Linked DNA regions of Danio rerio. The protein of the gene in region 2 purifies or fractionates together with the protein of the main gene of each other region. This does not show direct contact. Links are inferred from orthologs where the notes say so. Each region holds a gene or a part of one and is shown on either strand. Other genes may lie near its edges.

Region 1 (4,620 bases), on a different chromosome or scaffold from region 2:
ATATGATGCCACAAGCTTGGCACACCTGTGTTTAGGAATTTTTGCCAATTCCTCTAAAATTAAAAATGTGGAAAAAGTGAAGCGCTATAAATACTTTCCATATGCACTGTACATTCACTTGTAAGCTAATACTGATTTAAGTCAGTAAATGCTGCCTCACACAAACATAATTTAAGTGCTATAAAAAAGTCTTTTACTTGCATTTTTCCATCAAAATAAAAGCTACGATAAAAAACGTTATTATTATTATTATTATAATTATTATTATTAAGAAAATTAGATTTTAATTTTCTGTCAAATAATCGTAACGAACAATTTAATTGACTTTTTAAAAATGTATACAGTAGCAGACTCAGTTTGCAAAACAATTAAATAGGCCCACTTGATTTCATTTAATGCAGTGGAAAACAGCTAAAAAATATTTATGCATTGTTTATTTATAATTTATATTTATAATTTTTATATTTATATTTATAATTTTTATATTTATATTTTGTTAAATATTTATGTTTTTGTCTTCTTTATTTCCAAAGTATGTCATAATATAACATAATATAATTTTTATTTTGTTCAATCTGCTAAGAAATAAACAATAGCTATTTGTTTAGATTTCCTATTTTAAATGTTGAACTGCACAATCTTCCACAGCGGTCTCAAATAATTGCAATGAAATTACAGCAAGCTGATAGGTCTAAGGGTTATTGAAATACTATTATAGATTTATTTAACATAAAATTTGATTAAAAAATGTTATATGTATTAACACACACATACTATGTATACTGTATTCAGCACTTTTGGTAGTTCAATTTGCTTGAGATAGCACTACAATATCTTGAATAACCTTAAGTCTTTAGATCACAATGATATTTAAAAAAAATGCAATACAATGCCAAATTAAAAATGCAATTTGTTCACAGACAGTGACAACAGATCTATTCATATGCAATAGTACAACCAGTGGTGTAAAGTAACTAATTACAAATACTCAAATTACTGTAATTGAGTAATTTTTCTCAGGAATTGTAATTTACTAAGTAGTTTTAAAAACGTGTACTTTTTCTTTTCCTTGAGTAAAATTTTTGTGCTGTATCAGTATTTTTACTCCACTATTTTCCTTCAACCTGCAGTCACTACTTTAGTTCTTTCTTGTTTATGGGGATCAGAAAAATCTGTCCTGTGATTTCTGTCCATTCAAATCGCACATAGAGGGTAAATCGCATCATACTGAACTACTTCAAAACATGAGTGCTTTATAATTACAGCAAACTTTTTGGAAGCATTAAAAGTGTCCAAGAAAATGCCCAAAATTTTTACACACATTGACCCAGAGACTGTTTAGATGCATGTCACTGATGAAAAGATCACATATGTTTACTGTATGACGACCAAAATGGCCTTAAACACCTAGCAGGCACAAGACGTCAACATGTCGTCAGGTTGACTTCAGAACTCAATGTCAGGTCAACATCAATGTCCAACCTAAAACCAACCAAATATCAAAGTCTAATGTTGTTACAGCTTGACGTTGTGTGGACGTTACCACTGTGACGTCTATCAGATGTTGGATTTTGGTTGCCATACCAGATGATTAAATGTCAGTATTTGATGTTATTATGATAAAGGTTAAAGATATTGGCTTGATGTTGGATTTTGGTCACTTTCTAACAGCCTAAAAACCATCCAAATATCAACATCACTTGAAGTCATTATTGGACATCGAAATAATGTTGTCCTTAAACGCTGGCTAGCCATTGAATTTTGGTCAACTGACATCACAACCTAAGTCAAACCTAATAATAACGTCTTATGGCGTTGTGTACCTGCTGGGCTATAACTAGATGCACTACAGAATGTTACGTTTACACACATACACAAATTACATGTAAACGCATCAGCTTTTCACGGCATAATACTCACTACTCTTGAGTACTTTTTAAAGAGCTACTTTTTACTCATACTTTGAGTAAGATTTACAACATATAATTTTAATCTAATTGCACTGCATTTTAAGGCAAGTAAAGGTACTTTTACTTGAGTATGATTTTTCAGTACTTTTTCCACCACTGAGTACAACTCACTGCAGAGTAGTCCATTGACTGAGAATTACGGGGAGGAGGTCATGTGTGGTTTACTCTGCATCCGCTGGGTTTCTGCCAGTGGTCCACTATAATGCTGCATTCTCCACCATCAGGCAGATTATAAAGCCACATTAGACAGTCGGCTTGGTTTTCACTAACCACTGACATGTCCTCTGGTGAGTTTAGCATGATCTGATTTGTTTCGATCTTTCTCTGGAGCTCTTCAAAAAGATATTATATAAGGATGCCCAGAATGAAGTCATGCAATTCAGTGTATTTTACTACTGTAATAGATTATGCCTTGAACCCTGCAACGGTGCATAAATGCATGCACACATAAAAAATGTGCTTAAAACGTATAATGTTGCATACACTGGCACAGTAGTTACAAGTAATTACAAGCCCACCTTCTTGTAATATATGGGTTGGTGTGACCGCTTTCACTCTGTATTGCCTGGCTCTCCATCCAGGCGAAGGAACCTCCACAATCTCGCGGTCAGAGAGCCATGTCACGGTCTCGAAGTTGTCACCGTTGGCCAGAGCGTCCACCTCCGCTTTGTGCACGCCCACCTGTTGAAACTGATGCAGCCCACCCGAATGATCAAAATGCACATGTGTGCCGATGGCCAACAGCGGGTTTTTACGCTTCGCGTCGTCCCCGAGCAGCGATTTCTCTTGGATGTATTCAGGCAGGCTCCGTAAACCCAGGCCGGTGTCTATGACGACGTCCTGATGAGAACCGCGAATGAGCCAGATATTCGCCCTGTTCCCCGATTCATAAAACCGTTCCTGGATCCAAAACACGCCGTTTTCCAGCGACTTGTGCGCGTACCAGTCGGTCGCAGCCATCCCAAATTCATTCAAGATGTTGTTATTGCATACGAGGATAGATGTATGGTTGTTAGCCTATAATTCTGGCTTCAAATTTTGCTGCTTCAGCCGCAGAGAGGAGGACGCTGACACCCTGTTCCGCAAGCGTAACACGTCACCAGCCATAACGACGTGACGCGCCGTAGAATCGAGAATGCTATTGGCCATTGATGAAATTAGCGCCTCCCAAGTTATGCATATTAATAATAAAGCACAAGCGGTATTTAATTAATTGCCTATTTGTACTTAATGCGTCTGAAAGCTGTAAAGGTAAGTGGTTGCTATTTGAATATGTTTTTTTTTCTGTTGCTGCTCCGCGACGGAGCGTAATGGAGATTTAAATAAGTAAAACGTAATGGATATTTAAATAAGTAAAACATTATATCTGCATTTATTTACCCAAATGCTGTTACAATGTATCTTGTATGTTAAATACAATGTTTCAATCATATATCTCGTATTTCTTACAAAGATACAAGTGTATTGTTGTAACATGCTGCGTTTTTGCGAGGTGAATTCTACTCAAATAGTAAAGTAGCCTAATATTAATCGTATTCAGGTGTGCTTTGGCAACTCAGAAATTAAAAGACGATCAAACGAGGGTTGTTAGTCTAAGTTTACTAATGCCAAACAGTTATTTTGGGGAAAAATAAATAAATATACTAAATTAACTAAACGACTAAATAAATAAAAAAAAGAGGAAACCAAACACATCAGAGTTGCTTGTCTCGAGAACAATTATGCATAGATTTCCTTAATGCATAATTTAAAATACTGTTAAAAATAAATAACAATAAATGACTGTAAATTACAAATAATTAAATAATAAATGAATAAATACATCCTTTATATAAACAGTGCATTATGCCCTGTTTTATGTTCTTGCATTTACAGTTGCATAACAATTAAATACACTACTTGAAACTATTGATTTAATTAAGTTTTATAGTTTAAAAGAAAATAAATTACATATGATTGCTCAAATTCATGTAGCAGTTCAATAATTCATTTTTTTTAATCCACCTTTCAAGAAAATCTAAATTAACATATTTGAAATGTTATTTTATGTGCATTACTGAACAATCTCATTCTGTATTTTATGAACATTTCCTGCTTGTTATCAAACTATTTCATAACTGTAAAAGAGGCACTTCAACCATATCATAATGTTAAAACCGCTGTCATAACATTATTTATCAATATGTGGCTCTTTTTGGATTCTCGGAAGCTATACAAGTTAAACATGTAAAACAGGAAATATGCTAAGACCATTGTTTTTGTTTACATCCTTCAAAAATACTACAAAGGGACATATTATATTGATTGACAGTTTTGCATCACTATTCATGACATCACCATCCAGTGACATCACAGTGTAGTCCTCACATCCTCATAGTGTTTAGCATGTATAAGCAATATGGATTGAAAAGTAGTCAACAACATCCTAGCTATTGGTTCTTAGATGCCAGCTAACAAATCTTGACACTATGCAATTAAAACGACATGTATCTCACTGTTATATTATATTACATAATATTTGCTTGTTGGGCGACGCAGTGGCACAGTAGGTAGTGCTGTCACCTCACAGCAAGAAGGTCGCTGGTTCAAGCCTCAGCTGGGTCGGTTGGCATTCCAGTATGGAGTCTGCATGTTCTCCCAGCATTCGCGT
Region 2 (3,828 bases):
TTTACTGCTTAACTTGTCAGAAGTGAATATTTCTTTTCATTCTGTGAAGTATCTTTGTAACATAAACATCTCACTATGATTTCATGTCACTGTGCTCTCTTACAGTTATTCGAGCTACTGAATTTCTTGGCTGAGAACTTCATATTTTCCTACATGGGCTTGACATTGTTTACCTTCCAGAACCACGTCTTTAACCCGATCTTCATAGTGTGCGCATTTGTATCCTAAAACTTCATCTTTGTGCCTTGGCCAAAAATAGCCAGAAATGAGACAATAGTAAAAATACTCTCAGCAATTGCAAAACATGTGGAAAATCTGATGAAGTACTATTATTAAAAGCCACATATTTGCTCACGTTGGACGGCAGTACTTTGCTTAAGCGCCATCAAGGAAGTGGCTGGCTGTTGTTGAGTGATATGTCCAGGGTGTTACAGCTCATTGTGTTTCCCAGAAATCAATGGCCCAGAACTGTTTTTTTTAAATTAACAGAGTCCTCAGGAAGGGCACAATGTCCTGGCTCCGAAGGGATTGTAGATGCAGTCAGTGCAGTATTAGCTTTATTTCTGCAGTTTCTCCTTGACACTTCTCCTCCCAGCTGGCCGTGTTTCTGGGCAGAGCGGCGAACATCTATCCACTCTCTTTCCTGCTGAATTTGGGCCGTAGAAACAAGATCAGCTCCAACTTCCAGCACATGATGATGTTCGCAGGTTTGTGCCTTGAGATTGGTAATAGCCAGCCAAGATTTAATCTTTGAAGAGAAACAAGGTAAAAGCCAAAAGTCGTAAGGTTAAGTGGGTTAGACTTGAACCAATTTTGTGTGTTTGTTTTTCTTGATCCTGAGTTGATCCTGAAGTTAGCTTCCAAATTCAAATCTGTTTAGTTGATTAATAGTTTGAAGAGTGAAAACTCAATACAAAGCACTTCCATATGAGATCTAAAAATGAAAGTCATTCTCTGACTATTATGAATGAAAGGTAATTTTTTTTTCAATTTGACTTATACGGATGTAGATTAAGAGGATAGTTCAGCCCAGAAAATGTAATTCTTATCAATCATCAGCTAGGTGTGAACTTTTGAAATTACATAAAGTGTGTTTGGCATGCTATCCCTAGAGAGAGCTATGAGCTCATAAGATCCTCAAGCCCTGGACTCCCTCCTGTCAGCAGGGCGAGAGGTGAGTTTGAGCTCTGGTAGATCTTAATGAACTCCCCCGACTTATTCCTGGCTAATGACAGATAAAGGGACGCTAAAGAGAGATATACAGCTTACTAAGAGTTAAGCTATGATGCCAATTTAGAATGTTCAATTTACTTTGGTTGCATGTTTTTGGACTGTGGGAGGAAACTGGGGAACCCGGGAAAAACCAACACGAGCACAGGGAGAACAAGCAAACTCTGCACAGAAATGTGAACTGGTTCAGTAGGGACTTTAACTTGTGACGTTCTTGCTGTGAGGCAACAGTGCTAATCACTGGTCTGCTATGTTACAAAATCTAGAAAGGAGAAGGGAGTAGGGTGGGAGGGATTTCAAGATGAAGATACTGAGGTAAGAAACTCTGGTTATTTATAGTGAATTAGGAATCATCTGATTGGTGAATCATGTGTTAGCTAATGCAGGACCAGCTGTGGACAATCATAAGCACATGATTAGTTTATAAATAAACTTCACTTAGTCTTCCTAAACTTATGTTTTTTTCCAAGATATATTAAATCATGATTTAAATAAAAAGACTTTCCATGTACAGTTGATGTCAGAATTATTAGCCCTCCTGAATTAGCCCCTTTCCCAATTTCAGGTAAACTGAGATATTTTTTTTTTCTAAACATAATAAATGTAATAACTAATTTAACTGATTTATTATATCTTTGCCATCATGACAGGACATAATATTTTACTAGATATTTTTCAAGACACTTCTATACAGCTTAAAGTGACATCTAAATGCTTAACTAGGTTAATTATACAAGTTAGGGTAATTAGGCAAATCATTGTATAATATGGTTTGTTCTGTAGACAATTAAAAAAAAAACATTCTGCTTAAGCGGGCTGATGATTTTGACCTTGAAATGTTTTTTTTTTAATAAAAACTACTTTTATTCTTGCCAAAATAAAGATATAGGCTTTATAAAATAAGACTTTATGCCGAAGAAAGAATATTACTTGAAATGCTGTGAAAATTTTCTTGCTCTGTTGAACATCATTTGGGAAGGATTTGTAAAAAAAAGTAATAATTTGGACTTCAACTGTATGTAGTTTCTGTGTTATTAGTTTCAACTAGTGGAATTACAAAAATAAAGTAGATTTTCACAATTGTTGTGAATTCCCCTTAGGCTTATCATGCTCTTTCTTTCTTTTTCCTACCACATTTTACTGTTTTATGATGAGCTTGGCAGTACAACGTATACTGCATATGGGTCAAAAGTTTAATCATAATAGGTTAGCATCAATATTTAAACTTTTGCGAGAGACAAACCCATGAATTGTCTACTTAAAATAGTCACTAAACAGATAACTAAGTTAGGAAAATTATTTGTGATTGAAAGAAAATCTACATTCTTGACCTTAAACTGGGTCAACAGGTCAGATTTGCAAAAAAACAACATGTATCATATATGTCAACCAATTATGCAGCCTTTTTTGTTATTGCTCTACCTCTCATTAGGTCTTCGTGGTGCCATGACTTTTGCCCTGTCCATCAGGGACACAGCTACATATGCACGGCAGATGATGTTTTCTACCACGCTGCTGGTGGTCTTCTTCACGGTTTGGATCTGCGGTGGAGGCACAACTCAGATGCTGTCCTGTCAGAAAATCCGGTCAGTTCCAATCTCACCTTTAGCCTGAACGACCTTTTCCTGTCATGTAACATACGATGGGAATGAGTAACTCATTAAACGTGGCCTTTGTTCTTGTTTTTGTCCATTTCTGTGCACAGGGAATAATATGTAGACATCCCAAGCCATTTAAAACTTGGCTCTGAACTAATTAGACAGCTAAAATGCTAATTAGAAAGGGATGAAATTCAAACAACTTTTTCTTGTTAATTCCTGGTCAAACCAAGGATGTATGCGTGTGCGTGCGTGCGTGTGTGCGCGTGTGTGTGTGTTTGTGTGTGCGCGTGTGTGTGTAACAGTACTAAAGTCTTCATCACAGCTATGATGTTAATGCTATAAAGGAACAGTATCTTTTTTTTGTTTGTTTATTCGGTTCATCTTAGTTCAGAAATCATGCATGGATACAATGCACCAATCAAGAAATTATCAGGAAAACATAATTATACACTAAATGATTATATAAATAATAAGGTAAAATATCCAATTTGTTAGTTACAACTGCTTGTTAATGCAAGTTTCCATCTTGCCTTGTATCAACGGTTCAGGCTTGTGGTGGTGGTGTAATAGCTTAGGGGATATGCCTTTCTAAGAGCATGTAAAAAGGCTAAAAACTAAAAAGTTGCAAAGGCTACAGTACATCAGCCTGTACTGAATTTAAGAAGAATTTTAATCAACACTGTTAAGGGGTTTGGGTCTATTGATAATGAAAAAAACAGCAGAAAAACACCTGAAGTCTTTCTCCCAAAAGGAACAGAATATTTAGAATTAAAGCAACTAAAGCAAGACAATCAGAATCCTGTTTTAAAGCGCTCAATATTTTAAAGGGCAACATTTTATTATAATTAATAAACAGAACATTAAAGTTGTCTTTATAGTCATAATTATTGTTGTCAACATGTGTTTTGTTTTTGACAGTGTTGGAGTGGACACAGATCATGAGAACTCTGTAAGTGCTTTTGCTCTGGTGTGGACAGGTGAACATTGTCTTATCAGA

What was found.
Region 1: the proteins of slc9a6a (region 2) and mblac2 purify together in Homo sapiens (co-immunoprecipitation; 3 studies listed by BioGRID and IntAct, counting the BioPlex papers as one, with this or other methods). This does not show direct contact. The link is inferred for Danio rerio from reciprocal best matches to the Homo sapiens genes SLC9A6 and MBLAC2.

The regions. Positions count from the first base shown.
Region 1 is NC_133180.1:52,720,482-52,725,101, forward strand, and holds the start of mblac2 (acyl-coenzyme A thioesterase MBLAC2), read right to left. Parts: upstream 2,931-4,620; coding exon 2,489-2,930; intron 1-2,488. UniProt on the Homo sapiens protein: Acyl-CoA thioesterases are a group of enzymes that catalyze the hydrolysis of acyl-CoAs to the free fatty acid and coenzyme A (CoASH), providing the potential to regulate intracellular levels of acyl-CoAs, free fatty acids and CoASH.
Region 2 is NC_133189.1:36,152,671-36,156,498, forward strand, and holds part of slc9a6a (sodium/hydrogen exchanger 6a precursor), read left to right. Parts: intron 1-105; coding exon 106-219; intron 220-595; coding exon 596-707; intron 708-2,662; coding exon 2,663-2,816; intron 2,817-3,749; coding exon 3,750-3,780; intron 3,781-3,828. UniProt on the Homo sapiens protein: Endosomal Na(+), K(+)/H(+) antiporter. Mediates the electroneutral exchange of endosomal luminal H(+) for a cytosolic Na(+) or K(+).